Linked DNA regions of Tamandua tetradactyla. The protein of the gene in region 1 purifies or fractionates together with the protein of each later gene. This does not show direct contact. Links are inferred from orthologs where the notes say so. Each region holds a gene or a part of one and is shown in the gene's direction. Other genes may lie near its edges. The genes, in order: DYRK1A, FAM117A, GLCCI1 and ANAPC4.

The links.
Region 2: the proteins of DYRK1A (region 1) and FAM117A purify together in Homo sapiens (affinity purification with mass spectrometry; 4 studies listed by BioGRID and IntAct, with this or other methods). This does not show direct contact. The link is inferred for Tamandua tetradactyla from reciprocal best matches to the Homo sapiens genes DYRK1A and FAM117A.
Region 3: the proteins of DYRK1A (region 1) and GLCCI1 purify together in Homo sapiens (affinity purification with mass spectrometry; 8 studies listed by BioGRID and IntAct, with this or other methods). This does not show direct contact. The link is inferred for Tamandua tetradactyla from reciprocal best matches to the Homo sapiens genes DYRK1A and GLCCI1.
Region 4: the proteins of DYRK1A (region 1) and ANAPC4 purify together in Homo sapiens (affinity purification with mass spectrometry; 3 studies listed by BioGRID and IntAct, with this or other methods). This does not show direct contact. The link is inferred for Tamandua tetradactyla from reciprocal best matches to the Homo sapiens genes DYRK1A and ANAPC4.

What each region holds. Positions count from the first base shown.
Region 1 is NC_135336.1:104,635,446-104,643,731, reverse strand, and holds the start of DYRK1A (dual specificity tyrosine-phosphorylation-regulated kinase 1A), read left to right. Parts: upstream 1-4,711; 5' UTR 4,712-4,822; intron 4,823-8,286. UniProt on the Homo sapiens protein: Dual-specificity kinase which possesses both serine/threonine and tyrosine kinase activities. Exhibits a substrate preference for proline at position P+1 and arginine at position P-3.
Region 2 is NC_135332.1:30,938,345-30,946,873, reverse strand, and holds the start of FAM117A (protein FAM117A), read left to right. Parts: upstream 1-4,935; 5' UTR 4,936-4,995; coding exon 4,996-5,191; intron 5,192-5,260; exon of another isoform or gene 5,261-5,275; coding exon of another isoform or gene 5,276-5,396; intron 5,397-8,529.
Region 3 is NC_135327.1:116,946,042-116,953,831, reverse strand, and holds the start of GLCCI1 (glucocorticoid-induced transcript 1 protein), read left to right. Parts: upstream 1-4,640; 5' UTR 4,641-5,239; coding exon 5,240-5,681; intron 5,682-7,790.
Region 4 is NC_135345.1:25,466,434-25,474,121, forward strand, and holds the start of ANAPC4 (anaphase-promoting complex subunit 4), read left to right. Parts: upstream 1-4,353; 5' UTR 4,354-4,448; intron 4,449-4,571; 5' UTR 4,572-4,581; coding exon 4,582-4,710; intron 4,711-7,688. UniProt on the Homo sapiens protein: Component of the anaphase promoting complex/cyclosome (APC/C), a cell cycle-regulated E3 ubiquitin ligase that controls progression through mitosis and the G1 phase of the cell cycle.

The sequences.
Region 1 (8,286 bases):
TCTTTATTTCTATATTGTTTTCTGTATCGTAAAACTTTCTGGGTTGGTCCACAGTGGCTCAGCAGGCAGAATTCTCAACTGCCATGCTGGAGACCCGGGAATCTGGTGCCTGCCCATGCAAACAAACAAACAAACAAACAAAAAACTTTCTGTAGTGGCATTTTTACTTTTATTTTAATATTTTTGAACTTCTGATGTAGTGAATTGAAATTTAACTTCTTGGTTCATAGCACACTGAAACCGTTGTCAGTTTATATCAGGCCCCCTCTTTTTCATTAGAGAAGTTATAGGTTTACTCCAGAAAATATGCATAAAATACAGAGTTCTTATATAGCACCTTATTATTAACACCTTGCATTAGTCTGAGACATTGGTTACAATTCATAAAAGAACATTTTTATAATTGTGCTATTAACTATAGTCAATCATTTACAATAGTGTTCACTGTTTTGTGTTGTATAGTCCTTTGGTTTTTTTTTTATTATTCTAGTAACATATATACAGCTCAAAATTTATCCCTTTAACCACATTCACATATACAATTCTGTGTTCTTAATTACATTCATGTTGTTGCGTGAACATCACCACTCTCCAGTACCAAAATTTTATGATCAACCCAAATAGAAATGGATTAACTCCTTATTCCACCCCATGCCCTGGTAACCTATATTCTAGATTCTGACTCTATGAGTTTGTTTATTCTAATTATTTCATATCAGTGAGGTCCCCCTTTGTGTTTTAATTTATTTTGTTTCATTTTAATCTGATGTACATGCACTACTTTTCAAATCAGGACAAACCTTAAAGCTTGGAAAAAGGGAGCAATAAAGAACCTTCACTGTGAGGTCAAAAAACAGTAGTGGTGACAGATTCTGGACCATGCCGCTGTCCAGGGAGGACTTGTGAGCCCTTCACCTTCTCACCTGGTGTGAGGAGCAGAGCTAGGAATACTAGTAAGCTTGCTTATTCTTGGAAAGTTTAGGCCATAACTCCTAGCAGGGGTCCAATTACTGAACCTTTGAGCTCAGTGTCATGAGCCACAAAAAGTGGTCCCCAATCGTGTGTGGACCAACCAAAAGAACCCACCATCTTGGCGCCGATCTGGTGACATGGGCACTGCATCTCAGTTTTATCTGTATTCCTTAGCACAGTGCCAACCCCTGGAAGGTGGGCACCTGGTCAGTGAGCGCCAGACCCTGGGTAGGCACTCAGTAAATGATTAAATGACTGCTGAATGAATGAATGAATCTACCATATTAACTTAAGAACAGATTTGTTTGCTGTGAGTTTTTCTCAATTAACAGTTCGAGTCTGAGATGAGAAAAGTTGAACAAACAACCAGCAGAGGTGAAGTTTTTCTTTCCACATATTTCTAATAAGGTTGTCACTGTTCTGTGCTGTCATACAGACTCCTTGGGAATAAGTATCAATTCCATTTAGTATTTTTATCTGGAGTCAGGTGGCGATGGCACTAATTCCAACCTTGAGGAAATAAATATCCAGAGCTCTTTACATCATAGGAAACACATAAGAAGAAGTGGCAGAAGAAAAATTCTGAATTTCTTAGATATTGGCACTTGAATTTTAACAGAAATCATCTTGGTGTAGTGGAAAGAACCTGAGCTTTGCAGTTACATCTGGGCTTGAATCCTGGCCTCATCATGTACTGGTTTGTGACTCTAGGAAAGTTACTTCATTACTCAGATTTGTTTTCTCATCCATAAAATGGGGATAAAATTTGCTGTGAGGATTAGAGATATCATAGAATGTGCTCGGTAAATAGAAGCTTTTATTACCTTTGCTTTTTAGGTTATGATCTTCGTTTTTATTGGTTAACTTCTACGAAAAGACACATCTGGTAAGTGGATCCGTCTAGGAGTCTCAGATGACAGCAAGGATTTGATCACCGAACCTGATCAACACCAAACTGGCATCTATGCCAGAGTCCTTTCTGTCTACATGTGTTTACCTGTTTGGAGCCAGCTATAATTTACAGGCAAAGCTTATTTAAAACCACTTTACAGCATTCAACCTGACACAACAGTTCGTTAATCAATGTTGTGTAAGGTTGATCACAATATTGGGGGGAAAAAGGTGTTGCCTTCTGGATATGAAGATCAGCAATACCTTCTATTTCTGCTTGTCTATAAAATCAAGATTCTGCCTCACTCTGATAATCTTCTAGATTGCCTCGACTAAAGACAAGAACACAGTGCCTGAGACTTTGCCTATTCTTTCAGGGTTACCAAGAAAATTAATTATGCAGGTTTCCTCCATAAACAGCAATAAAAGCTTGACTTGACTTTAGTTTAGTGTTAAAGATTGTAAATGCTTGAGTGTTCTGACAAAAGTGAAACCATGGTGAATGCCGACAGAGGAAGGAGTTGGATGAGTAGTTCCATTGCCTCGGTATATCAATATTCTCCTAACTGTAGAAAGGAAACATTTGTAGAAAAACATTAAAAACAAGCATCTTTCTTTGAGTCACATAGGACAGGGAGCAATATTTATTATAAGAATGTTTTTCCTTATACCTAAAATTGTTCATAAGATTCTATTTGTTGATACTGTACTTGTGGGCACTAAAAGATAGGGAAACCAAGCTTAGAAAAAAAAATCAATAGATCAGTGCCTTTTGGTGTAGTATATACACACCCACCCACACACATATACGCTTTTAAATTTAACAGGTAGGTACTATTAATTTGGATTTGTACAGATTACAGTTTTCACTCTGTGGCTGTGGAATACAGTAACCAGCATAGCGTGCCTCAGTTTTAATGCTTGGGGAGCACCCCCAGCAACATTTAGCCAGACAGAAAGAGTAGTCAGAACAAAATTAAATGAAAGCTGGAAGAGTAATAAAGAGTTTTGATTGTTCAGAACAAGTGGCCAAATCAAGAACCCGGAAGCTGAGAAGATACATCAAAAAGAAAACCAGAGAGTTGGACTTACGACAAGGATACAGTAATAATAGCCCGAGAGGATTAATTTAAGGGGAATTCCGAATGAGAAGGAAGGCTGTGCCCAGATAGGTGGGGAGGGTACGGGAAGGTTTGAAACAGGTGGGAAACCATGAAGGAGGGTGCACAGCCTTAACAAATTTTTATGGGGGGGCTGCACTCGTAACTATTGGACGGTGGCAGTAGTTTCTACAAAAACCAAGCGGTAGGACTGAATTGAGGTGCCAGCCGTAGGGGCATCCCTGGTTCCGGGGAAGCGGCCGGAATTCCGGAGATGCCCAGCCCCATCGCGGCCTCCGCGGGCATTTTCCGGCGAAGGGGAGACGTGAGTCCTTCGAAGAACAGTTTCAACCCACGGACGTGTGCGCCCAGGCCACCGAAAGAACCCCGGACTAGCAGGGAGGGTGCATCGTCCGCGCGTGCGGCCCGGGGGAAGCGGCGGGCTCCCGGGCCCCGCCGGGCGCCCGCAGAGCCCCGCCCCCCGCACGCCCCTCCCCCGCCCCGCGCGGGCGGGGCTGCGGGCGCGCGATGCGGAAGCGCCGGGCTCCGGGGGCGGTGGCGACGCGAGCGGGAGGCCGCGCGCGCACCTGGGGCCGCAGTAGGCGCGGGCGCGGCGGGAGCAGGGCGGGGCGGCCAGGGAGGCAGTGGGCGCTCGCGCACAGGCCGGGCCTCTGCCTCGCTCCCCCCTCACCTTCCCTCCCTTGGACCGTCCGTTCCTCTGGTCTCCCCTCCCCCGAGCGAGCGAATCACGCGCCCTCCTCTGACACTCGTAGCGGGCCCGAGCTCCGAATTTATCCTTCACGTGACCTGAGGGGGTTGGGTGGTTGGTCCGGGATGGAGGGGGCGAGGGAAAGGAGGGAACGGAATCTGCCGTTACCCGAGCAACAGGCCCCGCCCGCCCGTTTTGGGCCAGGGGGCGGGAGGAGGACGTCAGCACGTCAGCCGGGGTTTTGCGTTTTGATTGACAGTTGCTATAGCGACCGGGTCGGTCCGTCGCCATTTTGTTGGTTGGTTTTTTTTTAAACCCTTTCGCTTCCCGCCCGAATAATAATAAAAAGCCCCATTGGAGTGAGGCGGGGGTGGCGGCGGCAACAGCGGCGGGGGGATCCGGGGAGACTGCTGCTGTTGCTGCTGCCGATCGCGGCCCAAGTCGGGCGCAGGGAGCGGACACCCCGAGCGGGGGGTGCGGGTGCCGCCGCCGCCGCTTCTGCTGCTGCTGTTCCTGCTGCTGCTGTTGGTGCCGCTGCCGCTGCCGCCGCCGGCGAGCGGGCGGGACCGGTGTGAGTGTGAGAGTGTGTGTGCGAGCGAGCGTGTGCGAGGGCGAGTGTGCGTGCGTGTGTGTGCGAGTGTGTGTGTGTGTGTGTCTGTCTGTGCGGGACTCGGGGGCGGGCGGTTCGGGCTCTTCTGGCGGAGGAGCCGCCGCGGCCGCCGCCGCCGCCGCTCGGGCCCCGGCGCTTCTCGCTGCGCAGGTTTGGAGCGCGCGCCATTTTGTGAGATTTACAAAATCCTCCTCGGGAAGAAGCAGCCGGGAGCGGCCGCGACTGGGCGCCCGGCCTCATCGCCACCGCCCTCAGCGCTGGGCCGGGCCGCGCGGCCCCGCCGCCCGGGAGCCGGGGTCCGGGGACTGCGGTATTTGCCGGGAGGGGGCTGTCGCCTCCCCGGCCCCGGGCGCCGCTGGAACCGCGCGCCGGCGAGAGACTGAGGAGGCTGCGGCGCGGGCGAGGAGCCGAGAGCGCCGGGGGCCGAGAGAAGCGGCCGGGGCGGCGTTGGCGGCGGAGGCCGCGGCGGGAGCGAAGCGGCTGGAGCCCGAGGCTGAGACTCACCGGAGGGAGCGGCGCGAGCGCCCCGCCATCGTCGCGGTGAGTGTCCGGCCCGGCCGCGGCCCCGCCCGGCCGGCGCTCGGCTCCCTGCGCGGCCTGCAGCCGGGCCCGCGCCGAGCGAGGTTGGCCGGGTGGAGGGAGGGACCTGCCATTTTAGGAAGCGGCGCCGCGGGCCCGGGCCCGGCCGCCGGGGGAGGGAGCCGAGAGGCCCGGTCTCGGAGGAGAGGCGGGTGCGAGCCGAGGGAAAGTTGCGGAGGGCGGGAGGAGGGCGCCGCGGCCTCCGGGGAGCCGGGGCCTGGGGGCCAGAGAAAGCGCAGACCTTCACTGGCCGCCCGAGCGAAGGGGAGGAGGTTGTCTTCCTCCTCCTCCTCCTCTTCCTCCTCATCCTCTTCCCCCAGCTCCTCCCTCGTCCCTCCTCTCGGTCCCCACCAGTGTGGGAACCGCTGGGGTTCTTGGCAAGGACAATGCACGGTTAAGAAAATGGGGCCGAATGCGGGCTGAGACGAGGGCGGCCGGGCCGAGGCTGGGCTCCGGGAAGGTCGGAGCCGGATCCCGGGGCATCCCTTTGGGGGTCTGAGCTCGAGTGAGGGGGCTCGGCTTGCTCGGAAGTTGTGCGGGGAGTGCAAGTAATAATCCCGGCCACTCGAGAGGAAGGAATGACTTGTTTAGCGGCTGGAGGAGTTGGTGACTGGGGATGGGTGAATTATAATTGATACCTGGCTAAGACGGCGAAACTTCGCAAGTCTATTTATAGACCCAAATCCACTCTCGCTTGGTATTCACCAAAGCTGCTGAATACCTCAGCACTTAGCAAGACGCTCCTCCCTATTCGACAGTAGTTAAAAATGGCAAAATTAGTGAGTGCTTGACTCCGACTACTTATCTGTGTTTTTTACCCAGCCCTAGATTATATGACTCCTGTAATCTGGCACTCGAATACCGGCACGGCTTGGTTCTTAATTTCGCCCAAGGATCAGAAAATACACTTTATCACATGGTTTTCACACGTATCCAAAGTTCAAGACCAAGAAGTGGCAGGCGCTTTACGTGTATTAATGATCCCATTGGCAGGAACGGTTGCCCATTATACAGATGAGGACCTTGAGCCGTGAGACGGGTAGTGACTCCTCCAAGGTTACACGGCAGCGGGGACACGAAGAGCCGGGAGGCTGCAGGAGCTGGGGCCCTTAACCACTACCTTATGAAACTCGTTATTATAAATACTTGAGAATTTTGGAACCGTTTGTGTGTAGTGACTCAGGGTTCTAACTTAGAGGTTGTGTCCATGTCTAAGTCTAGTGTTCAGCTTAGAGTTAACTTTGGTTTATGGAAGTGGAAGGAAAGGGTTGCGATGAGGCCTCCTTAATGAAACTTGTCAGGCTCCCCTCTCACACCACCTCCTCCCCCACTCCCCCCCCCCCCCCCCCCCCCCCCCCCCCGCAAGAAAACCATGTAGTCAGTTTTTGAATGGAAGGGATTGAAAGAAAACTTTTTGGTGTGTATTCTTGACAATACAAATTGTAGTCATCATTGAAGTATTGATGACTCAAAGTTTTGTGTAGCTATTTTTAGTCATATTTCATCTTTAAATATGTAGATTTCCTCTATGACACTTTATACTCTACATATATCAAGTGTTAGTAAAAATGAATATATTTAGTTCTTTGATTTTGGAGTATTTCAATAATTCAGTAAAATTATCTTTAGTTTTTGTTTCCTTAGATTTCTTATACCTTGATGGTTCATTTACTTTAAAAGAATATTATTTTAAATTAGATTATAAGCATGAGACTGGAACTACTAAAATTCCATGTGCTGAGGTTTTAAAACGCAAGAAGGTAGTTTCAGAGAAGCAGGAGTTAAGAAAAAAGTTTGCTTGGTCATAGTTAAGATTTTTAATGTACATATGTCTTAGGCTTACCCCAGTATTCTTAGAGAATTTACCTTGGAATAGCAGTGGTGTTTATGGTAGCTGTCCAAATGGTTTAGACATCAAACCTTCCCAGAAAACGAAGAACTGCTATGAATGTCTACACCATGTTCTGTGTAAAACTGGTGTAAAAGCGCACATTTATTTCACAGAAACATAAGTCCAGAAATTAATTCTAGTCTCATCCATGTCTGTAGGGTGGGTTTGTAACACCTGGTGGATATGTAAAAAAGAGTTTAGATTTGAAGGAATAGAGTTGTAGGATGGATGACTGGTCATCATTGATTGGTAGAACCAGTGATAGAGGGGAAATGGATCTTAGGATATCTTATTAAGAATTTGAAATTTAGGTATAAGATGGTTTCTTAAATGTATTTAAAAAAATTTTTGGTGGGACCTGTTAGAAATGTAAACATACAAAATTATTGTGACCTAGGAATTAAAAAATTAATAAAGTGCAGTCTGTTAAGAGGCACTAACATTCAAAATAAGTGGGAAAAATCTATTAATTTGCAATGTCCTGTTTGGAAATGTGGATAGTTAAAAAGATTCTTGGGTAGAATTTTTTCCCCTCTAGAATATTGTCTGATGTCTGTCCCTCAGATTTACTTATGGATAGTTAGTGCATTTATTTATGATTTGTAGCTACCACGTGGGATGGGTAGTGGTCAGTGTAACAACCAGTATTTGCAAAATTTACTTAGTTTTTTCGTAGGTGGTCTGTATAATTTAACTGCAAAAGCAAAATTCGAGATAGCTTATTTTGTACTTGTACAAAGAAAAATTGCTAATTTGCATTGAATTTTGGGTATTACTTGAAAACCCTTTTTTTTTTTAAAGAAATAGCTTAGAAATTTAGACTGCCCAGAGGTGTTTTCACATGTTTATGTTTGGCAAGTATATAGGTATGGGAAGAAAATTTGGATAGAAATAACTTTATTATGGGTGTGCAGGGAATTGCCTAAGATTAATAGAAGAGGAGGCTTAGAGATTTGTGACTCAATATATGTGATAAGATGTGTATCAGTTTTTCTTTGCTTTGGTGTTAGCTTTTCTCTTATCCCAAAGAGCTTTCCTATTTCTTCTAAAGATATTTTTTAAAAACCCTCCTACCCCTAGGAAAAAACCCTAACCATCCAAAACCAGCAAACCCTTAAAATTTCAGAAAGAGATTTTATAAGAACCTGCTCTTCACCCTCCCCCCCATTTTACCAGTTGTACAGTTTTGTTGTACTCATCGGTAATTTAAACTGTGAGTTAATTTCGTTGAGGAGTGTTTTGATGTTTTTACCTCCACAGGCACTTGTATATTTTCCATTAAGAAGTAAAGAAATTAAAATTCAAACATAGTCACCTGAAACTTGATGCTGACACAACTTGCCCTCACAAAGTGAATTGCATGACTTGAATAATAGCACCTTCTGTGTACAAAGTGAATATGCCTCTTAAGACTTTTTTTTTTTTACCATATGTTATCTTGATAGTTAAACAATTTTTTGATTTTTAGAGAAATTGTGGTAATTCATAACTCAGGGCTTGCACGTTTTTGGATTAAAAATTTTGGGTGTGTGTG
Region 2 (8,529 bases), on another chromosome or scaffold:
CAGTGAGTTTGCTTGTCCTGTTGGCTGAGAGGCCACATCTGAGCAACAAAAGAGGTTTTCTGGGGGTGACTCTTAGGCCTAATTGTAAGTAGTACAATTGTAAGTAGCACAATTGTAATTGTAACTTATCCTTTGCAGGGATAAGTTTAATATGAACAAACCTCAAGATTGAGGGCTCGGCCTATTGATTTGGTTGTCCCCACTGCTTGCTAGAATATCAGGACAAACATCACATATTGTATGATTCCATTCATATGAAATATCCAGAATGGATAAATCCATAGAGACAGAAGCAGATTGCTGATTGCTAGGAGCTGGTATGAGGGGAAAATAGGGAGAAACTACTTAATGAGTGTGGGGTCTTACTTTGGAGTGATGGAATTGTTTTGGAACCAGATAGAGGTGGTGGTTGTATGAATTGTGGCTGTACTTAATGTCACTGAATTGTTCACTTTAAATGGTAACTTTTATGTTATATGAATTTCACCTCAATAAATTTTTTTTAAGGCTGCAATTTAGCAGAAAATTTGATTCCTATAGAAAGCAAAAGTAGAGTTAAGGAGTGAATGTCATTCAGTTGGAATGAAGGAGAACAAATAAATGAGATAACTGGGAATGAAGACAGAAAGTGGTGGGCCACAGCATGGGACAAACTGTGTCAGAGAAAGAATCGAAGGTCAAAATCCAGGACATCTGGTTACCCTGGGAGTAAGAAGGAAGGGGTACAGGGGAGGGAGGCTACCAGGGTAGGAAGAGATGCTGCAGGATAGGACCCCTCCCTACTCTGTTCCCATAACCTCATTCATTCCCTCAACCCTCCTTCCCAATCCCTCTCAGGCTGCTCTGCTCCTTCAGTTCTGACCCCATTTTCTCAGGATCTCATTCCCTGAGGAGCTGGGCCTGACATTTCAGACAGAGGCTGAGTTAAAGGAGGGAGGTCAGAAGGAGACACTATGTGTCTGCATCATCTTATTTTCTGCTTTATTATTTTTGAACTGGGGAAAGGGGGGCAGAGATGTAAGCACTTAGACATTTACCAGCTAGTTTGGAGATGATCCCCCAAGTACCAAGAAATATCAAGATTTCTCTGTTTTCTGTTGAACAATTGCTACTGGGTAAGATATTTTGAAGGGTAAAAGTGGTGATTTGGAACTCCCATACTTGTTGGTTATTGGGGCATAAATGGGCATGTGGTGTGGAGGATCAAGGAGCTGCAGAACTAGAAAGAGTCTTCAAAACTAGAAAGCTTTCTTTGGCTGTGATAACCCAAGCCTTCTCTTCATCCAGTAGCCAGCAGCACAAGGCCTCCGTGCTGATCCTCTGATCTGCCAAAATTTCCCACAGCTTTTTGTCCTTGGTAGCCCCTTGGACTCTTGCAGCTTTTAAGGTCCCAAGCCTTAGAAGGATTGGTTGGGGACTAGCCATACCTCTGACTCACACAAGTAGGAAAAATAACTCATATTCTCTGAGTCATCATTTATTTGTGACAGTTGGGAACATTCCAAGAGTAGGCTGGGATCGGGACTGAGCGCTTGCTATTGAAACTCTATAAGGCAAATCATTCTCCAAAAATGAAAACAATTTATTGATATATTTGGTCTATGTAATATTCCACTCTTCATGTGTTTCAGTGCCTGCCTCAGACCTGAAAACCCTGAAAGCAGGAATCACGTCATGTCTCTCAATTGGAATACCACCTAGCCCAGTGCCACTTCTGTCTCCAGCTTTCAAGGTTTGTTAGCTATGAACCCTAGGGCAGGGACCATGTTGCTGAATATTATTGCCATTACCTAGTTCCTAGCTCAGTGTCTCGCATGTAATGGGCACTTAAACGAATTTGTGATGAGTGGATTAATTAATGATGATGATATTGGTAGGATGACTGTGGGACAGTGACAAAAGTTTTCTTGCAGGTTAGGAGATACTTTGTAAAGCATGACATCTCCCCTTAGCAGCACATAATCTTCACAAAGCCGTGGCTTTTTTCACTGGAGGAAACAGACATGGGTTGATCTTCAGATATAGTCCTAACTTACCCATCATGTCCATGCCAGGAGAAGCTATCAGTTCTAGAGAAGGGAATAAGAGACAGCTGGTTGGGTATGATACCTGGTAAGGAGAGGACTGGGTTCTCTTAGGCATGTCTACCCTCTCACTCCTCCAGTTGGGGCCAACTTACTGTCTTTTGCCAGCCCCTTATTTATCAGGAAACACCATGACTGTCTGGACTCAGAAGATCCAGGTCATCAGCTATGCCACTCCATTGACTTTTCCTCCCCTGTCCAGCTCCTTGATTCCTGGCACCTTGGCTTTGGAGCAGAGGTTTGAACCTCATGTCCTTGGAACCACCCATATTACTCTTCTCTGCAAAGGAAAAATTCATCTGTACCATAATATTTCATTTTATCTTTAGAACAACTCTGTGAGATTGATATAACGGATGATCCTGGCAAAGAGAGATGAAGCCACTCACCCAAAATGTCTCAAGATCCATCATCCCAGTTCTTTTACCTCTAGCATATACTTTGTGGTTCAACCAATAAAAACTACCCACCGTCAACTGAAAACTGCCCAAGAATTTACAGGTAGAGGAGTCATAAAATGGTGTAAAATGTCAGATAAGAAGAGACGTACTGGCCTACCCTTTTGTCCTCAGGCAGGCCCAATGATGTAGAAGTTGAGTGTTTTCTTGAGTCAGGAGACTTGGATATAAATTCTGAACTGGATAATCTTGGGCAGGTCATCCAACCTCTGTGCCTTAGCCTTCTATAAAATGGGTACAAAAAAATCAGCATTCTCACCTTTTGTGCCTATTGAGATAATTAAATGAGATGGTGTATGTGAAAGCTAGAAAGCCCTAGACAAATGTTAACTAAATTTAATATCACAGCCAGATTTGCATCTTTGGAGACTCTAGTAATCCTTCTGTGTTTGTAAGAAAGTTTTACAAGCATAGAGATTAGTAGCTCAGGTTCTGGAGTCAGGCTGCCTAGGTAACCTTGGAACTGTTACTTCTCTTTCAAGCCTCAATGAAGAGGTGGTAATATCTATCTCACACCAAATATTCACACCGCACCATGCTTAACATGTAGCTGGTATGGAGAAAGGAACCCAGTGAATGTTAGCTGCTATCATTACAGATTTTATAATGAAGATGTGATGTAGGGTGACCCAACAGTGGATAGAGATCTGACAAGGAATCAAAAGGATTCATCTCTCTGGGCCTCAGTTGCCCCATCTGTATCAGGGCAAGAATTCATGTTTTCCCTCTTCCAGATTGTCATGAGGATTAAAAAAATAGTATGTGAAGACTTTAATCTATTTGGAATTGAGGAACAATATAAATGCAAGAATTTTAAAAAAACAAACAGGGTTTATAAAGTCTGAGCTTTCATCAGTTTATCAGCTTTTGTTCATTCCTCCCTGCCTTTGTCCCCCTCATGGAAAAGGAGTTCAGCATTTCTCCAGTCAAAAAAAACTTTGAATGTCAAATCTTAAAGTAAATCCTTCAAATGTGTGACTGCACTCTTTGCAAGGATAACCCTTCCTCAGGAGATTCCATTGCCTTCATTTGTTCTGTGTATGTAGGCTGAATTTAATATTCAGCCACTCTTGAGTTTCCACATTGTATATTATCTGCTTTCAATATTTAATTCCAGAATGACTTCCCCTTACCACACAGCACTCCCCCAGTTTATCTCCTTTTCTCTGATTAGTTACTGTCTTCAGGGATACCTTCACTTTTAACATTAAACTGGGCAAAAACAGAAATAGAAAGATAAATTGGTGGCAAGATCAAAATTAGAATTCACAGCTAAATATAAATCTGGAGGGAATTATCCAATTATTTGGATGGTCCCTTAACACAGACTACCCAGAGTTGATTGCCTCTGCTTTTTCCATATATAGAATAAAATGACTGATAAATACAGAGTAGTAATTTTTAATAGCACTTAATAAATGTTGTTTTCTTTCCCAAATTCCTTCATATATATTATAGCATGTGGTTTTTCACATCTGCATGCATTCCTTTTTGGGGGGACCACCCAGTCTCATTTTGACTTAGATGACAGTATTTAATTGGGAAGACTAGGATTTGCTAATGAGGTCTCTGTGGAAACTTAGGCAAGTTCCACAGTCACTTTATTCCTTCCACTCTGCTGAGCTAGACTTGGAACAGACGACCCTGAAGGGAAATTCCCTGCTCCTTTTCAGAGTTCCAATTTAATTTGTAGGCTAGCAGCTGTTTCAGGTTGGACCAACACCAAATAAGAACTTGGAAACGTGGGGAAGGACAAATGTGGGTGTCACATGAGGCACGGGAGCCATTAAGTGAACGAATGTTATGCAAATTGTATGCAAATACTGTGCAAACTTTGCATTCATTTGTAGAATCTTAGTTTGGAGATTGCAAGCAAGCACTGAGATCCTATAAGGGTTGAATAATAACGTTTTTAGGTTAAATCAAATATAATGCTTTTTGAAGTTAGCGCTTTCTCAGTGCTGCCCGGACTCAATTGCCTAAAAGTTTGACATCCCCTCACCCCCTATAACGATTTCACCAGCTAGAGCCTGATTGCAACCTACGCCCGCCCCGCCTCTGGCACAGTTGACGTCACGCGACATCGTATTTGCATACTACCTGGGGCTGGGTGTAACGCTGCCCCTTTCTGCGTTTTCTCATTGGCTGCGCGGGAGAACTAGCCCTCTTCGGGGTTGACCAATCAGCAGCCTCTCGGCCGTAGGCAAGCAGACTGGATGTTGGGGGTAGGGGCGGGATCGCTAAGTTCTGAAACCAATCATCCTCAGAAAAGGGAAGAGCCATCCGCGGATTGGTCGGGAGGGAGGTCTGGGGATCCGTAAGCCAATGAAAGTTCTGAGAAGAGGGGGCCGGGCCCCGCCCCGTAGGACAGATAAGTAGCGGCAGCGGGGGTTGGGGGGCTGTGTGGGGTTCGCTGTGGGGCTGAGGCAGGCAGGCTGTCTGGCGGGTGGGCAATGGCGGGGGCCGCAGCGGGCGGCAGAGGCGGAGGTGCCTGGGGGCCGGGGCGCGGAGGGACTGGGGGGCTCCGGCGGGGCTGCTCTCCCCCAGCCCCCGCCGGCTCTTCCCGGGCTGGGCTGCAGCCACTCAGGGCCACGGTCCCCTTCCAGCTGCAACAGCCGCACCAGCGCCGGGACGGGGGTGGCCGCGCAGGTGAGCCGGGCCTGGAGCGGGTACGGGGGAGGAGCCGTTGGGGGAGGGGGCGCGTGACGAGAGCGGAGGGTGCGTGAGAAGTGGATGGGGGCGAAGGAGAGAAAAGAGGGTGCAGAATCTACGAGGGCGGAGGGAGCGAGAGCGAGGAGCCGTGACGGTGGGGCTCACTGTTGGGACCCAGCGTGCAGGGAGTCGGGGCCGGGAGGTGAGGTGAGGGACCTGACAGATGGAGGTTGGCTTTGGGGGCGTAACTGAAAAGTGGGCAGAAGTGTCGTGTGGGGGTGAGTGGTAGATGCCGAGAGTGGGGGCGAGGTGTGGGGAAGGAGCGACGCGTGATGGGGGCGCCCTGTCGGGAGGGCTGGCGCTGGGAGCGAGCCGCCGGTGGGCGCTGGGCGCCTGCACGGCGAGGGGGAGGGGCATGGAGGAGAGCCCCGTGGAGCCATGTGTTACTTCTCCGACTTAAGTTTGGCCCCAGCATCCCACTTTACAGCTCTGGAGTTCTTCTCCCCGCTACTTCACGTGCGTTTTCCTTTATGCCACCTTCTGGAGCCGATTTCGTCTGAGCGGTTGGAATAAGTTTAACGGCTTTTACTGCGATGCGAACGCTCCGCTCCCGATTCCCTGCATTCCTCTCGCTGTAGCCCAGAAGTTGTATGTTCCCCAGATCATCGACTGCTTAGTATGATTGTTCATTCCAACCATCCCGTGTGTGTGTGTGTGTGTGTGTGTGTGTGTGTGTGTGTGTGTATGTGTATAGGACACAGACAGTTTGCCCCCTGCCTTTCCTTCCTCCCCCCACCAAGGTTGTATTGTTCTGAGCATTGCCAGCCAACGTGGCAGTGGGGTGAGGGCTCCCATTAGTGCACCGTGGCAAATACCCTACTTTCTGAACAGCACTGAAGTGGTATCTTAATAGCAGCTTGGTGTGGTAGGTGTGAGGAAACTCGGGAGGAGCCAACTTAACCTTGCTTTCACACTCAAAGCCATGACGGGTCCCACAAATACAGGCAGTTTGGAAAAGGAAAAGAAACCTACTTGCATGAGGAGGTTGGCAATAAGTTGAAAGTGAGGCTTGCATTTGATTCACACCAGATGTGAAAAGATCATTGCACACTTACAAAACCTCAGAGTCTGTACTAAATGTACAGAAGTCATCGCCTCTGCCATCAAACAGTTAATGGCATTCTCTAAACCAGAGTCGCCTGAGATTGTTGTGATTACTAAACTTACTTACTGCACATCCCCCTCCTGAAAACATATCTGCTACAGTGCATTGCTAGGTAAGAATGGGGTTAAGAGGGTCTTGGAGGCGGAAAGTCTACAAGCCTATCTGGACCTTACTATAAATGTTAGCATCATATCAGGGAATGCAGAAACTTGGTCAAATCTGGTAGCAAGATGGTGACCGAGTAGTAAAAGTATGTGTAGAATCCCGTGGTGTAGAGCAAGGCAATGCCCAGACAAACTTATGCCTATCATGAGCTGTAAAGCAAACCACAAGACTACAAACCTGTTGGTTTTGTTTGGGTTCCTTTTGAGCTCAGGGAAGTTAGTGGAACAGCAAGCACCAGAACCTTAATCACTTTTAGTAGAAATCAACAGAAAGCCTACCTGTGTAGTAGCTGGAAATCTACTAGCAATCATTTTAACAGCAGTTTTTGTGTGTGTCTACTATAGAACTAATATTTAAAGGGTAAACTGGTAAATGCTGTGAAAGCAGGAGTGCAGGCTTGGATGCCTGGGTTCTTTAGTGGCCTGCTCCTTTTACAGAACCAGGTGCCCTAAGATACTGGTAAAAACAGGAAACTTGAGCTCTGCATAACTTGTCAGATGATTTAGGGCCAAGTTGGGTGGATTCTTGCTTATAGGTGGGCCTGATTTATAATGTCTCCACATATTAATATCCCAGAGGTGTTAATAAGGTGCTTGCCTGGTGGATAGTGGGATTATCTGTAGATTTCAGTGAGACAGGTGAGAGGAAGAATAGAAATAGTAGTCTGAGCTTGTGGATTTATTTGTGACCAGACACGAGAATGTTCCTGGACTTTGGTTTAGGGGCACATCAGGCCTTCTACGTGTTAACTTAAATCTTTATGTGTATGTAGTCTGTTTTCATTTGTTGGCACTGAGAACTGTCAGGGGTGGTTTCTTTTATGCCAGTAGGATATATGTGATAGATGAAAGCCTCTTTCTTTAATAAACCCTTCAGAGCACAGAGCTGGGAATGAGAATGCCTGGGTTTTTTTTTAATCCAGGTTCTGCCATACACTAGCAGTGTGGCCTTGAGGAAGTATGCCTCATTTTCCTCATTGTGAAATGTGGATAATACCTTCATCATAAGAATCAAACAAGTTAATAGATATATTGTGCTTAGAACAGTGCTTGGCACATAGAGGGTGCTATAAAAGTGTTTGCTGCTGCTTATATTGTTATTATTCCCTCCCCCAAACCAAGGTGAGAGCACTGTTGGCCAGAGCCCATTGCCTTTTCAGGCTTCAAAGAGCAAACCCAGATTGGTCTGAAACCAGTACTGCAGGTTTCAGAATTTCGCTTGCACTTATATTCCCTCATCTTTTAAAATTAGCTTTCTGAACGGGGCTCTGAAACCCAGTTGTTTAAAAAGGCATGGGAGCTGGGACTAGGTTTCAGGAACAATTAAGTGTCGTCACTGTTTCTGTTTCCCATCTCAAAAGTGATGTAACGCTCAGGGCTGTGCAGTTATCTCCCTGCCACACACCCTGCTGTGCACTTGACAAGATATATTAGACCTTGTAAAAAGGATTATGGTGTAAAGAGCAGGATTTACCTTCTGCGGCCATTCAACCATAAGGGATGTTTCGTAAAGTGGGAATGGGTTCATTTTTATGAGCCTGGCCTAGGGATGAGTAAGCCTGAAGAGAGTGGAGAGAAAAATGAAGGTCAACTCTAAGAAAGCAAAGAACTCAGGATAAATGTCTTACTGTAATTAGTCATTAAATTAAAATCTCTTGTGTTATGTCAGTTGGAAGCTGAGAAATTGATAATGGACAAAATGGGATTAGGAGGAGAACTGTTATGGGTTCCAGTTTCACCTATCTTGTTTACTGTCTCTGTCTCCATATCCCTAGAATGAAGATAATGTTTAATCCAGCTTTGCAAATTATTTTTCCAGTAGACCAGCCCCACTGGTGCTGGCTGGGTGCTGGGATGCTGCCTCTGCACCTCCTCCGCCCAATAGAACCTTCTTAAACCAGGGATTAATAGTTGTGGCCTTTGGGCCAAATCCGGCCATCTGCCTGTTTTTATAAAGTTTTGTTGGAACACAGCCACTTCTTCACTTAGTATTGTCTGTAGCTGCT
Region 3 (7,790 bases), on another chromosome or scaffold:
AAAAGAGTGCAGAGTAGGACAAAGAAAATTGTGCGCTACAAAAAGTTCAAAATAGTAGAAAGAAATTCCTCTTGTCAAGTGGTGCTAATGAATTGAGTAAACTTTAACAACAGTCTCTCAACATACTTACTTGTGTAGTAAAAAGCAAAATTCAGCCACATAGGAGAAACTTAATCCATGACACATTTTAATTACTTTAAACTCTAATTAAAAAGAAAACACTATGATAGTCCAGTATACTACCTTCCTAGAACTACTACAGCTTTCATATATTGTTAACATTATGTTTGGAACTAAAATAAATGGAATGTCACAATGTGGAATGAGTTAGAGTATTTAGAATCTTTGGTCCTCAAGATTCCAACCTTTAAATGTGCTGACTTTATGCAATATAGTCTTTTAGTTAAGTGGCAAAAATCTTATGTATCAGCTTAGGGGTTATGCCGCTGGCATCACAGTTGGCAATTGGAATTGCTGTGAGAGGGAACATTGAAAAATCCATTGTCCTTATCACTGTTTCCTATCCTTGGAGGAATGACTGCTTATTTACTCTTTTGATGACCTTACCAGTTACAAATAAATTATCTCCTATCTCTATTGCTTTTCCTGAACTTCGTTTAAAAAAATAAAACAAAAATAAAAACAAAATTTTCGTCGGTTACATATACTTTTCCTTCCTATTGAATTAAATATTTATTTTTCAGTTCCTTTACTCAGGCCTCTTGAGATAGAGCCCACTACCCGTCAGCAGGTGTCACTCCCTAACTGATCTTCCCCAGCTGTCATTCACTGTCAATTTCAGTTGTCCTTTTTTACCCTGTAAATTTCAACTGTCTTTTCTCCATTACCAGTTCCATTTTCCATGAGCCTCCAAGAGCCACTAAGGTTAATATCTTTCACTTTGCCTGTGTAAGGACCATATTATGGGATACTCCTTTCTTTTTGAATGCCAGTAAATATCTGTATGATTTACAGTGGCCACAGTGAACATTTTTCTACTCTGTGGTTTGGCCATTGCAGCAGAAATACACCTGTTATTATCATATGATTTTTTTTTTCTGATGTAAAGCACCACTTTTAGTTCATGGAACAAATACTGATTAAAACTGGCTACTCTTTCAACCACATTTGAATAAATACATATTGATTGTCTACCATGTACCAAGGACTGTGCTGGAGATTCAGCAATTACAAAACATAAGTCCTTCCTTCTTGGCTTACAGACGTTGGGGGTGGGGGGGAATGACAATATATGATAGGTTGGATGGTGATAAGTGCTCTGGAGAAAAATAAAGTGGGATACAGAGTAGGGGAAGCCTAAGGGGGGTGGGGCTTGCAATTTTAAAGTGAGTGTCCAGAGAGGCTCTCACCAAGAAGATGGTGACAACTGAGTAAGGACCTAATGGAAATGGGGAACAAGAACAAGGATATCTGGGGCAAGGGCCTTCAGATATTCAGGCAAAGGGAAGAGCTAGTGCAACGGGGCACGTAAGCTCTCATAAGCAGTAAGGAGTTTTACTTTACCCATCTGCCAGGGACAAAAATGCAAGCAAGGCTTTTTTGTTGTTGTTGTTATTAAGAATCACCTACAAAAGAGTTTAATTAGCTTAAGATGAACATCAGTGTAGATCTGTTTAGTGTTCTCTCACAGCCATGACCTCATTGCTAATACTGACAGCCTAGGTTGCCCCTTAGATTTGGTTGAGTCTTGATGCACAGCTTGACAAATCTGGGTGGAACCAGAAGAGGAAGGTTTCCATCTATGGAATCTAAGCCCCTTCTTTGGTAGGTCTGTAGGCTCGACTGTTCTTTGTCTGCTCATCTCTCCGCCGGGGGCTGGAAACTAATCATTTGTGGCAATCATTCCAAATTATAATCTAACCTAAAATATAGTCCACTGCCATATTTGAACCAAAAAGTACACATAATAGTGTTTTTTTTCGCAGGCACCAGGAATTGAACCCAGGTCTCTGGCATGACAGGCAAGAACTCTGCCTGCTGAGCCACTGTGGCCCACCCCATAACAGTGTTTTATTTTAGGTTAGCTAATGGTGGATTCATGTCCTACAGATGGCCAAGGCATGGGGCTACTAAGAACAAAAGTATTTCCCATGTGCTAAATTACGCTTTCAATTTTGTCTTCTAGTAAGAACTTAACAACATAGTAGAGAGGTCATTACTAACATGAAGCCGCATATAGAATTTTCAAAGATAGTTACACTTATTTTCAACAAATAGGCATAATCTGCGCTGGACCTATGAATCCCATAGATAATATAGAAGCATAACAATATCATTCTAGCCCAGCAATCCACACTTGCTTCTGGGTGTTACCAATTTACTGAGAACATTTTCTGAAGCTTTTATATATCCTTGGATCTCCATTCCCATTCTCAATAAGAGAAAAATATATAATTCAACAAATGGGGACATTTGAAAGGAAGCACTGGGTTTAGTTTAGTTTAGCCCACCTGAATTGTTTGAAGACTAAATTCTATAAACATGAATATCAGTGCTTATTTAATGACATAAAGGTTTAAGAGCTGCCTAAGATTTCCTTAGGAAAGAGAAAGTAATTGAACTTCCAAATAGGTCATGATGACTTACCAGTAGCTGAAAATAGTATTCTAAGATCATACTAAGTCTCCATGTGATCCATTTATATTTGTTTTACATCTCTGATTTAAGGCGGCTCTGGAAGATTTGAACAAACACATAACACCTCAAAATATGGCGAGATATGTTGTCTTTTTTAGATCCAAATCAGGTTTTGATCACTGTGACAGTGGCTTGGTGTAAATTTAGAACTATTGTAATATAATATTTTGTGGTTTTTACATAATTATATCTAGGAGTGGTCAGAGATGACATTTCTATAATGAATCCATGCTGTAATCAAATCAACATGTAGAAATTTACCAGTACTTTTAAAAAAGCTTTACATATTTTAGTCTGTCAAGATTTTTTGTTTTTCTTTTTCTGAAAAACTCACCAGAGAGAAACCATTTATCATTCTTTTTACTCATGAAAGATTGCTATTTCCTAATTAATGAGGAATTATCGATTTTTAGATGAAAAAATGACATGTCAGATGAATACCAATTTTGAAAGAGTAAGGTTTTTGCCCTATATATAAAGTATCTGTATTCTGGAAAGCAAAATAATAGTGCGCTGTTTTCATTTGTAAAATTTCTTTGAACTAAGGGAACTTATCTCAGAGATGAATTTTGTGGACTGTTGTAAATATTCTACTGATCAAGTACCCCAAGGCTTTAAGCTAGGAGGCACTAGAGCAGAGAAAGGGTTTACTCCTGGACTCTTGAGCTAGGCTGAGTAATCCTGGGCAAGACATTTAACCACTTTTTGCCTCAGCTGAGAACACAGTGAGACTAATAATAGCATTTATCTTAAGTATTGCTGGCACATGGTGACTGTTTAATAAATGTTAGCTCTTATTCTAATATAAGATAAAGTGAGGAACTATCTCTAGTCATAATGGAATGAAGTACTGTATGTAATTTTTGTATTTTTATTGGATTTTGTCACTTTTTTTTTTTTTTTTTACAGAACTAAGTATGCTTTTTAATGTGAGGCACACGGAAGCAGAGAAGGATGTCTCCTTTGAAACTGATCTCTGTATATAGTCCCTGAAATCACAGGAACCTTGTCAGTATGAACAAACACTGGGAGACCAATCTGGGGTCCCATTTCTCTTTTTTTACCTCTTGGAAATTAAGAGAAGGTATCTGATTTAGACTGTTAAATAAATAGTTTCTGCTTAAGGTTTAAAGCCTAAGTTTATTGTGGGGTAAACTTGGGTTTTTGATAGTCATCTGAAATCCTTGCATCTCTTCAGATTCATTTCAGAATAAAAACAGAATTTACCACAGTGGATTGTTACATTTAAACCTGGTATTTATTCCTTCCAGGAGGCCATCTGCTTCTGGGGAGAGCCAACGGGTACCCTTCATTAATATACCTAATGATGGTATAATGATGTAACATTCCTAGTTGACCCCCGCCCCTCCGAAGAGTTGCCATCAGGGAGCATAAGATTTGATTATCTCTTTTTAATGTATAACTACAAATGTTAGGATGGGCTATAAAATTATATAAAAGGCCTTTTGTTCAATCCAGCTGCCAGACATTGCTCCAGACTACTTTATTAATTATATTAAGCACGGTAAATTCTTTGATTAGTATACTATCCACGAAAACCCAAACTAAGATTAAAGGGGAAGGGATGGCTACTTCTAGTTTTAACTCTACATCATCCCACCGGAACAGGTGTACTTGCAAAGTAAAATTCCCTTAACCCAGGAAGGTGGAGCACTTTACAAGCTACTTGCGGGTGTGCCCTTGCCTGTGGTATGGGGCACGCGCAAGACACACATGGACCAACTTCACTAGGGCGGCCCAATCAAAATCTCGCTCTCACCGCAATTACTGTCAACTCTTACGTCCTTCCCTGGGCGCCTAGCCCCCCTTCACGATTCCACTCCCCCACGCCCCGCCCCAAAGACAGGGGCGCCATTTTCATTGGGGAGCGCTGCTTTCACTCTTAGCCCAGAACCAATCACTTGCGTTCTGATGGAGAGCAGCGGAGCCAATAGAAACCCTCGTTGCGGGAGCTGCCGGGTCCAGAGCACCGGGAGGTGGTGTCGGGGGCGGGGTCCCGGCGTGTATGTGGGGGTATTAGTTGCTATTCGGGGTGAGGACCGGGTAGAGGTGGTGGCGTCTGCGGTGGCTCCGCGGTTCTATAGGCACCGTGAGGCCCTTCCCCCTATCCTCATCCCCAGAAGCTATCCGTGCCGCTGCCGGGCTCTTTTCCTTGTGCAGCTTCGCGGGGGCCGAGGAAACTGCCAGCGGCCCCCAGAGCTGCGTGGTCTAGGCGGTTGCCCCACTCCTCTGTCACCGCGATGCTCTGGGCGGCGGCGGCTCCGGAGTCCTCGCGGCTCCGGCCGTGACCGCCACACGCCGAGCTCTCCCGGGCGGTTGGGGCCTTTGGACGTTTGTTTTCGCAGCTTTCCCCTCCCCCCTCTCGCCGAGGCGGCGGGGGTGTGCGTTGGGAAGAGGGAGCCGAGAGACTCCTCCTCCTCCCCTATACCCCCGCCCCACCCCCTTACACACTCGCACGCACCATCGCGCCGGCTCCCACACGCTCGCGCGCCTCCCGCTGCGCGCCTCCCGTTCCGCGCCTCCGTGTCGGCCGGCGGCGTCCAGGGCCCGCGGAGCCACCATGTCCACTGCCTCCTCCTCCTCCAGTTCCTCTCAGACCCCTCATCCCCCGCCGCAGAGGATGCGGCGCAGCGCCGCGGGCTCCCCGCCCGCCCTCGCGCCCGCCGGGAGCGGGAACGGTGCGGGCGGCGGCGGCGTGGGCTGCGCCCCGGCTGCGGGAGCCGGCCGGCTGCTGCAGCCCATCCGCGCCACGGTGCCCTATCAGCTCCTGCGGGGCGGTCAGCACAGTCCCACGCGCCCGCCTGCCGCCGCCGCTTCGCTGGGCAGCCTCCCGGGCCCCGGCGCGGCCCGCGGCCCCAGCCCGCCCAGCCCGACGCCGCCGCCGGCTGCGGCCCCGACCGAGCAGGCGCCGCGGGCCAAGGTCCGCCCGAGACGGTCCCCTGAGAGCCGCCGGAGGAGCAGCTCACCTGAGAGACGGAGCCCCGGCTCGCCCGTGTGCAGAGGTAGCGAGCCCAACCCTCCCGTCCTCCCGGGCTGCGTCTCCCCGACGGTGCCCTCCGTGGAAACTTCAGCCTCTCCGGGCTTCTCTTTGCTAGTGCATTATCGAAGGTGTGAAAGCGGCTTTGGGAATCTCACCCCCCTGCGGTTGCTGCGGGGCTTGGTTGAGCGAACTGAAAAGCAACTTTTATTTGACCCTCCTGCCGCCCCTCAGATTTTCTCTCCCCCATCATTGTCCTGCATCGAAAGGTTATTCAGTTTAATAGCCGACTAGCTTTCTCGCGTGTTTGCTGTTTGTAGCAGGGGAAGAAGGAGCCGGGCGAGAGACACTTAAAAACACGCACACAACTCTGCAGCTGCCGATACGGTGGTGGTAATCTCTGCAGACTCTTTGTGCTTTCCTGCAAGTTCCTAATGTGCCTGTAACTATCGGGATAAATGTTATCTTTTTGGAGGGGTTGGTGGTGGTAGTTATTATCTAAGGATCTCTGCTGTACGTGTAGAAGGGGCAGTTTTCACTGTGCAATTGAAAGGTTTTGGATTTGGGTTGTTTTTTCCCCCCCCCCGTCTCTGTTCTCTACTTTATATAGTCGTATGCATCAGAGCAGTACGGTACTGGAAACAGTTTATGCCCAACTCAGGATTTTTATGGTAAATTTTTAAAGGTCCTTTTAAAAAGTACATTTAACTGTTCAAGAATCTCATGTTTCTGTTTTGTTAGGTGTCAAAGATAATAGTGACCTGGTGGATACTGTGGGCTTGTCGTAACGTTTTCTGTTTTGGTTTTGTTTTGTTTATGTCTAGGGACACAGTGCATGATCTAGTTGAGTCCTAGGGGAGAAAAGAAAGATTAGCCAAAACAGGGACTTAAAGCTCATAAGTAGAGTGGAGTAGCTAATATTATTAGATACCAGCCTAGAGCTACAGATGCTGCTGCTGCTGCGCTGTAAAAGGAGCAGATCATACTGAGTGGAAAAAAAAAATTCTCTTCCTGGAAGAGAAACACTTTTGAGCTCTGCACAATGTTTATGTGGTATGTGGAATTGTTTTTAATGGAGTTTTCTTGGTGAAGGTCTTAGAGTTGGAGAAAGTGATTCTCTGTGTTATGATAGATTGCAGTTCTAATGTTTTTGTTTTACTATCTCAGACCTGTAATTAGCTTCTTGCTAAGGCACTTGTTTTCAGACCACTTGATCGTGAACTAGAATAGGATATAAGTGTAGTGGGATGTGTACATGAGCACCAAGAAATACATCCTGTAATCTGTATGCACCAGGAGGAATTTGCTCCCCCACTCCTCCCCTAGGTCAAGCCAGCTGCTGCAGAAACTGACATCCTCCAGCAAATCCTGAATGAATGAATGAAAACAACGTGATCGCCCTAATAATGACCACAACTGAACACACATCTTTGGCTGTATTTTATAGAAAAGGCCACCATTTTCTAACAGATTGATGCCATATGCAACACTCTTGCACATTTTCTAGAGCTGTTTGAAATGAGAGGTAACAAAATGAAAAGAAGGCAGCAATTACATAAATTTCTGGTGATTTTGCTTCAACAATGTATATATTGAGTTTAGGGATTTTATTTTAGCGACTAAGGTAAGCATTGCGGATTGTGTCCAGAGGTTTTGTGGACAGAGTAAGAGTAGTTTTGACATTGCTTCAACAATAATGGCCATCTAGTACTGGTACCTCCTCCCCTCATGTTGATAAACACTAATATCTTACAACAGACCATAGTACGAGTTGTTTTTCTACATCCTTCAAAAACCTTCATTGCTTAGAAATTAATGCTCTGTCATTAAATAGTTTTAATGAAATAGTTTTAATGAAATTTGGGGTCAGGCTTAAAATACCCTCTTTGTTGTGGTGTGGTACATCTAAGTTAATGCAATTTTAATGCAATTATGATGAAAACACTCTTCTGAGTCTAGTTGTGCAGCAAACAGATTTGCATCACCAGAGAGCTTGTGTTGAGAATGAAAGGGCTTTCTCTGCTAGAGATGTTTTTCTGTGTTTGTAACACCAGGTGGTTTTGTCAGTTTCTTGCATTGAGGTGATTTTGAATGCAAGCTCTTGTGTCCCCAGTTCCCTGATTGAATTACCCCA
Region 4 (7,688 bases), on another chromosome or scaffold:
ATGTCCTCGTTGGTCTCTCCAAAAATCTCTGGCTAGTGAGAGGAAAATGTGTGTTTATATATATTTTTTTGTTTTTATATATTTTTATTTATATATTTTTTGGTATGCTGTAGGGTAGAGGTCACATTTCATTCTTTTTCCATGTGACTATCTCATTATTACATTAGCATTTATTGAATTTTTTGTGCGTGGGGGTAGGTGCATGAACCAGGAATTGAACCCGGGTCTCCCGCATGGCAAGCAAGAATTCTACCACTTAACTACCCTTGGACCCCCAGTTTATACTTCTTTAAGGTACTTAAATCATGCCCTATATTGGAATAACTTTGAGTACTTTTTTTACCTCTGAGCAAATTAGAAGCTTGTTGTTAGTGGCAGGGGCCTTGTGGACATCATCGTGTGTGTTCACTGTGACTCCTCAGCCCTGGGCCTTGCACACAGTGATATCAGGAGACAACCAGGTGCATCACATATGCTCTCAGCTCCTCCTCCCAATAACCATGGGAGTAGGGCAGATAGGCTAAGGCATTTCTTCGCAACAAGACAATGCCCTCCAAGTGGTCAATGTTCTTTATGGATTGAGTGGATGGAAATCCCTTTTATAAACTGCATGATGCCTCAAAACCCTAACTGCTACATGAAAAGCTATCAGGTAAAGAAAGCTTCCACAAAACGCAAAAGAAAATCCAATTGCATGCATTTGATGCTATTTTAATTGGGGCATTAGGACATGGCTTAAAATAATTCAGGGTCAGCTAAGAAGCTCGACTGTGAAAAGGAGATTTCTGTTGTTTGGAAGGCTATTTAGTGTGAATGTTAAACTCAGCAAGACCAAAAGTGAGAAAGCAGATCTCAGAGCTGTGAGCAGTGAGTTTTATCCTATTGGTTGGACAGCCACAAAATTCTCAAAACTGTTTTGTTTTTAATAGCATGCAGGTTAGATGAGGCAGGTTAGATAATATCCAGTGAGCTCTAAGAAGCAGTCTGAATCGGTGGGCCTCTGTTTCTTTATCTACAAATGTGAAGGCAAGGAATGGGAGCAAACTAGGGAAAATCAGCCCAAACATTCCTCAGGTTTAAAGAGGATAAAAGGAAACAAAGGTTCCTGCTTAATATCTTTAGAATTGATACATGATCCAAGTATATCAAAGAAAATTAAAATCATCTCTAATTCTACCTCTCACAGATAACCACTGTTACAACTTTGGCATGTACTCTTCCAAACACAGAATCTTGCATAAATAGTTAAATAGGTAGACCCACTCTAAATTTCCTCCAACAAAAACGGAACTGTAAATACATATTATTTGCAACCTACTCTTAAGTCAGTCTCCCATAGTAAACAACCTGAGTTGTTTACAGTTTTTCATGATTGTAAATAATCCTATGATAAGCTTCCTTATATTCCAGTCTCTACTTCCTCAGGATAAATTCCTATACATACGAATACTGGACTTGTAATTCTTATTAGAACTTTTTTTCAAATTGGAAAAATAGTTCCCATGAGTTAGTATGAATATCTTTCCCAGAAAAGCAACCAAAACAGTCATGGGCAACAACAAAAACCCCAGCAATCCAATTTAGACTCATTTTGCCAAGACATCATGTCCCAAATGTTCTTCCTACTTAAAGCTACCCCTTAACTATCATGATTGATTGTTGTATTGCGCAGTGTCGATGGCTTCAGCAGCATCATACAGACCTTCCCATTGCGTGCTCCACTGTAGACCTGCCATGGGAGTTGGGGGAGGAATGACTGTATTCTCCTGGTCTCTGGGGGCAGGCGGGGGGGGGGGGAACCTTTTTATTGGGCTCCATCAATCAGCATAATTCCCTCACCTTTCCCAGTGGGTGATTTCTGGCTAGGCTGCTAATAGGGGTTGGTCTAATCATAATGAAGTCCAACATCTTTGTCTTATGGTTGGTAGAGGAGGCGTTCATTCTCCTGGTCTGAAAGAGGTAGCATACAGCTCCAGTTGCGGTCTTCTGTGACCACATGGGGAGCCAGCCTCATGATGATATAAACCCTGTAGAAGGCAGACAAGGTAGCTGGGTTCCTGATGAGACTGAATGCTGGATCTAGTTTGGCCTGAATTCTGCCCTCCTGCTGGACTTTTAATTTACATTAACCACAACTTTCTTGTTATTGCCTGTTCAACTTTGAGTCACGTTTTTTTGTTGCCGAATGGATGCAACTGTGGTAGAGCAGAGAGGTTCCAACACCACCCATTTACATCCTTTTCTCTTTCCTGCAAATTCACATTCAATTTGCTTGTTTTGTGTTTCAACCATTTTATGACTTCAAAACAGGCCTCAAAATAATAGCTCTTCATATGGCCTGTATAGGTACATCCCACAATTCCATCTTCCATTTTGTACACAGAAGAGGGAATCTCAAACCTTTTCTCAGGTCCTGACCTTTCACTTTCAAACCTGATTTTTCAGTTGCCTGCTGGCCATGATGGATTGATTTTTATGCCACACTCCCACCTTAACATAGACTTCACCCCCCAGAAATCTCTGTTGGTAGCTCTCTGGCCTTTCCAAATCTGGCTCCTCACTGTTATAATAGTACAATCTAGACCAAAGAGTATGGCGATTGAAAATCAATCTAGCTAGTCAAAGAGGTATTTCAAAAAAGTTAGTTCTTTCTTGCATTTTAAAAAGAAACACTTAGGGAGAGAATATACAGAGCGCAGAAATGCTTAAAATCTGCCTATTTTCCATTTACTTCACTTTTCCCCACTTTTCCCACATAAATATCTCCTGCCTTGTTTCCTTAAATAGCGTATGATCCATGAACTACTTTCTCCCCGTTTCTTCTTGATTTTCTGTTACAAAAGCACAAATGAGCAGGTTTGGCAAAGCAGTTCTTACACAAAAGATGGAGAAGGTAAAGAAAGGAGCTGGTAAAGCAAAGAACCTTCTTCATCAGGTAGTAAGGAAAAGCTAAAAACACATGCGTGTTAATAGTTTTTTTTCCTTTCCCTATTTAGGATCATTTCCAGTAACAACAATCCCTGCTCCCTACTCCCCACCAACACACACGAGGATATAAAACTATTTGCTGTTATTTCACCACATATGGAACTCCAAAGCTATCCTGTTTCCTGAACTTTAATACCTTCTTTCTAGAAAATTCATTCTAATCTCTTCTAAAATTTCTTAGTGTACAACTAGTTAACACTGTCCTGTCCTTCAATCCTTTTTATAATGTGCTGTATGAGGGTTCTTATTCAGTGTAAGTTCCAGGTAAACATCAAGAGTTAAGAACAGCACTTGGCACAAAAACAGCTTCTTGAATATTTGTCTCTGAATGAATTAATCTATATCTGTCACCTACTTCCCAGGGGCTAGATCAGAGAGAGTACAAGATGACAGAGCTTGAAAACTGAAGGTCCTGCCACCTTTTTTCCATTGAACAAGTAAAAAGTGAAACCTGGAGGCCTTTCTACCATAGTCATAGGATGTCATGGTGACATCCTGTAAGCCCGAGTCACGGCTCAGGAAACTGTTGAATGGATTGACACATTTAAATATGTCATTTATAAAGGGCAGTCAGAAGGGTCAGCATTTACATGTTCTCTGCCAGACTGGCCTATGAGCATTTTGAACAGAGCCTTTTGAACAGTCATGTCCAATACGTCTCTGTAGCCCCAGATTCTTGAACATAGGAAATGCTCAAATAGCTACAGGCTAAGTCTTGGATGAGCCCACACTCCGCATTCTCATATGATGGGGCTAGTACTACCAATATGTAGTGAGGTTTATGTAGGATAAGGACTCAAGGCATTATATCCCCATCTGAAGGAGGGTTTAGAGTCCCCGCCTTGGCTTCAAGTTGTAATCACCTACGGAGTTATAGTAAAGTCAGTAAGCCATCCTTACTACCTGATGGCTGCCACACGGTACTGATTTTCCTTGAATTCGTGTGGAGCGCTGCATGGGCAGGATTTTAAAACCTCTCCAGATGATCCCACGTTGTAACTGAAGACCACTTGTTTAGAGGCTGTCAAAGGCGGCTGACCAGGTCCCGGAATTCACATGCCTTTTTCTCTCCCTATCATCTCTGAGGCCTCAGCCTTAACCTCTGGACTGTCCCTTCGCTGGCAGAAGCAAATTTCCGGGAAAACGGGAGAGGCAGGCGGGCAGGCGGCCATAAGGACGAGCCCCATGCGTCCCGCTCGCCGCCTCCTGGCCCAGCGCTCCCGAATGCCCCGCGCTCGCCGCCCCCAGCCCACCGACCCCGAACCCCCGATCCCGCCTGCCCCCACCCAGCCGCGCGCCAGCTCCGTTTTCTAGCGCGGAAGTCCCGGCGCCGGAAGTGCCGAAGCGCGCACCCGGACGGCCCGGAGGCTCCTGCGCGCGGCCGACGGAGGGAGGGAGGGAGGCTGCTGGGGCGGTCTGTACCGCCTGGATCGCCTGGGCCGCCGAGGGGACCCTCGCAGGTACCGCCCTGTCGGAGATCGCGGGGTCGGAGGCGGCGCCGTGTCCGGCCGGGACAGGGCGGCGGGGGCTCCCTGGGCCGGCGGAGGGGATGCTACCGGCCTCCAACTAGGGTGTCTTTGCAGGGCGGCCCCCATGTTGCGTTTTCCGACCTGTTTCCCATCCTTCCGGGTGGTGGGCGAGAAGCAGCTGCCGCAGGAGATCATTTTCCTAGTCTGGTCTCCCAAGCGGGATCTCATTGCTCTGGCCAATACGACGGGCGAGGTAAGTGAACCGGCGTGGAGCCCGTCTGGGGCAGGGCTGACCCCCTGTTGGTGCGGGTCACCCACTGCCCGAGCCTCAGTTTCCTTTTCTGTGGACAGGGCAGGGTACCTGACTTCCCCGCCTCTCACTCCCATGACCGCAGCTATTAGAGAGAGTGCAAAGGGCCATATGCGCGAAAATTAATAATATTTGTGGGTCCATTTTCACATAGCTTAACACAATTCTGCATCCCCAAATGGTCTTCATTCACTGAGCGAGAATAGTGGAAGATGCACAGACTCTACCCTAAGTTTGCTTACAGTTTAGTAGCAAAAGAAAAATGAGTTATTACTGTGAGTTCGCTGAAAATCAACATACACGTAACTGTCAGATACTACAGGTTTAAGGATTTTCATTCTGCTGTCCAAGTTTTAAACTGTGGTTTCATTGCTAAATACATTTAAATTGAACAAGGGAGACATGCTTCGCAGGATTTCTACCAGAACGTGCAGTGACTTACTGATAAGCATTTCTAGTTCATATTACATTACCCTACATGTATAAACAGAATGTATACAACTTTTTGCCGAGATTTCATATTGACCGCAGAGCCATTCTGTAAAGAAACCTTCACTGGTGCATCTTCCCTCCTTTGGCCTCCTGACAGTTTTCCTGATAGTTGTCAGACCTTGAGCGGTGTGTGCGCCCGAGTTTCAAAGATAGATGTTAAGGTAAGGTTAGCAGTATACAGAACTCTTTCACCTTGTTGCCTGCCATAACCCCGCTACCAGGGTACTGATAATTGTACCAGAAGATGAAATATGTCCTTAGATTTCTTGCCCCTCCGTGAAATCTTCTAGTCTTTTTTCTGCCAGGGTGCTTTGTAACTTTGTGACGGTTCTAGATGGGAGTAGATAAGCTACAGATAGTTCAGCCTCAGCAATAGGGAGGAAAGTAGAGAATAGGGGCATCAGTGCAATCAGATGAGTAGGCACTTGTTTTCATTTTCCTGTTGAGGGAATAATCTAAGAAAGCTGATGAAGAAAAAAAAAATACTGGAAGCTTGAGTGAAAGGAGAGGTATGAAAAAGCTGACAAGGCAAGTGGGCTGATCCATGAGTTTAGTGGTCTTGTAATTTTTTTTTTTTTTTAATTTTTTTATTAATCAAAAAAAAGAAAAGAAATTAACACAACATTTAGAAATCATTCCATTCTACACATGCACTCAGTAATTCTTAGTATCATCACATAGATGTATGATCATCATTTCTTAGTACATTTGCATCGATTTAGGAAAAACTAGCAAAACAGCAGAAAAAGATATAGAATGTTAATATAGAGAAGAGAATTAAAATAATAATACTAATATATATATATATAAAAAGGAAAAAGAAAAAAACAAAAACAAAAGATACAAACACACAAACAAACAAACAAAAAACCATATTTCAGGTGCAGCTTCATTCAGTGTTCCAACCTAGTTACATTACACTTAGGTATTATTGTGCTGTCCATTTTTGAGTTTTTGTATCTAGTCCTGTTACACAGTCTGTATCCCTTCAGCTCCAATTACCCATTATCTTACCCTGTTTCTAACTCCTGCTGGTCTCTGTTACCAATGATATAGTCCAAGCTGATTCTCAAATGTCGGTTCACATCAGTGGGACCATACAGTATTTGTCCTTTAGTTTTTGGCTAGACTCACTCAGCATAATGTTCTCTAGGTCCATCTATGTTATTACATGCTTCATAAGTTTAGTCTGTCTTAAAGCTGCATAATATTCCATCGTAGGTATACGCCACAGTTTGTTTAGCCACTCGTCTGTTGATGGGCATTTTGGCTGTTTCCATCTCTTTGAAGTTGTAGATAATGCTGCTATAAACACTGGTGTGCAAATGTCCGTCTGTGTCTTTGCCCTTAAGTCCTTTGAGTAGATACCTAGCAGTGGTATTGCTGGGTCGTAATCCATTCTGCCATTCTATGTCTTTTGATTGGGAAATTCAGTCCATTAACTTTTAGTGTTATTACTGTTTGGGTAATATTTTCCTCTACCATTTTGGCTTTTGTATTATATATATCATATCTGATTTTCCTTCTTTCTACACTTTACTCCATACCTCTCTCTTCTGTCTTTTCGTATCTGACTCTAGTGCTCCCTTTAGTATTTCTTGCAGAGCTGGTCTCTTGGTCACAAATTCTCTCAGTGACTTTTTGTCTATAAATGTTTTAATTTCTCCTTCATTTTTGAAGGACAATTTTGCTGGATATAGGAGTCTTGGTTGGCAGTTTTTCTCTTTTAGTGATTTAAATATATCATCCCACTGTCTTCTAGCTTCCATGGTTTCTGCTGAGAAATCTACACATAGTCTTATTGGGTTTCCCTTGTATGTGACAGATTGTTTTTCTCTTGCTGCTTTCAAGATCCTCTCTTTCTCTTTGACCTCTGACATTCTAACTAGTAAATGTCTTGGAGAACGCCTATTTGGGTCTATTCTCTTTGGGGTGCGCTGCACTTCTTGGATCTGTATATTTAGGTCTTTCATAAGAGTTGGGAAATTTTCAGTGATAATTTCTTCCATTAGTTTTTCTCCTCCTTTTCCCTTCTCTTCTCCTTCTGGGACACCCACAACACGTATATTTGTGCGCTTCATATTGTCATTCAGTTCCCTGATTCCCTGCTCAAGTTTTTCCATTCTTTTCCCTATAGTTTCTGTTTCTTTTTGGAATTCAGTTGTTCCATCCTCCAGTTCACTAATTGTAGCTTCTGTCTCTTTAGATCTACCATTGTAGGTATCCATTGTTTTTTCCATTTTTTCTTCTTTGTCCTTCACTCCCACAAGTTCTGTGATTTGTTTTTTCAGATTTTCTATTTCTTCTTTTTGTTCAGCCCATATCTTCTTCATGTCCTCCCTCAATTTATTGATTTGGTTTTTGAAGAGTTTTTCCATTTCTGTTCGTATATTCAGCATTAGTTGTCTCAGCTCCTGTATCTCATTTGA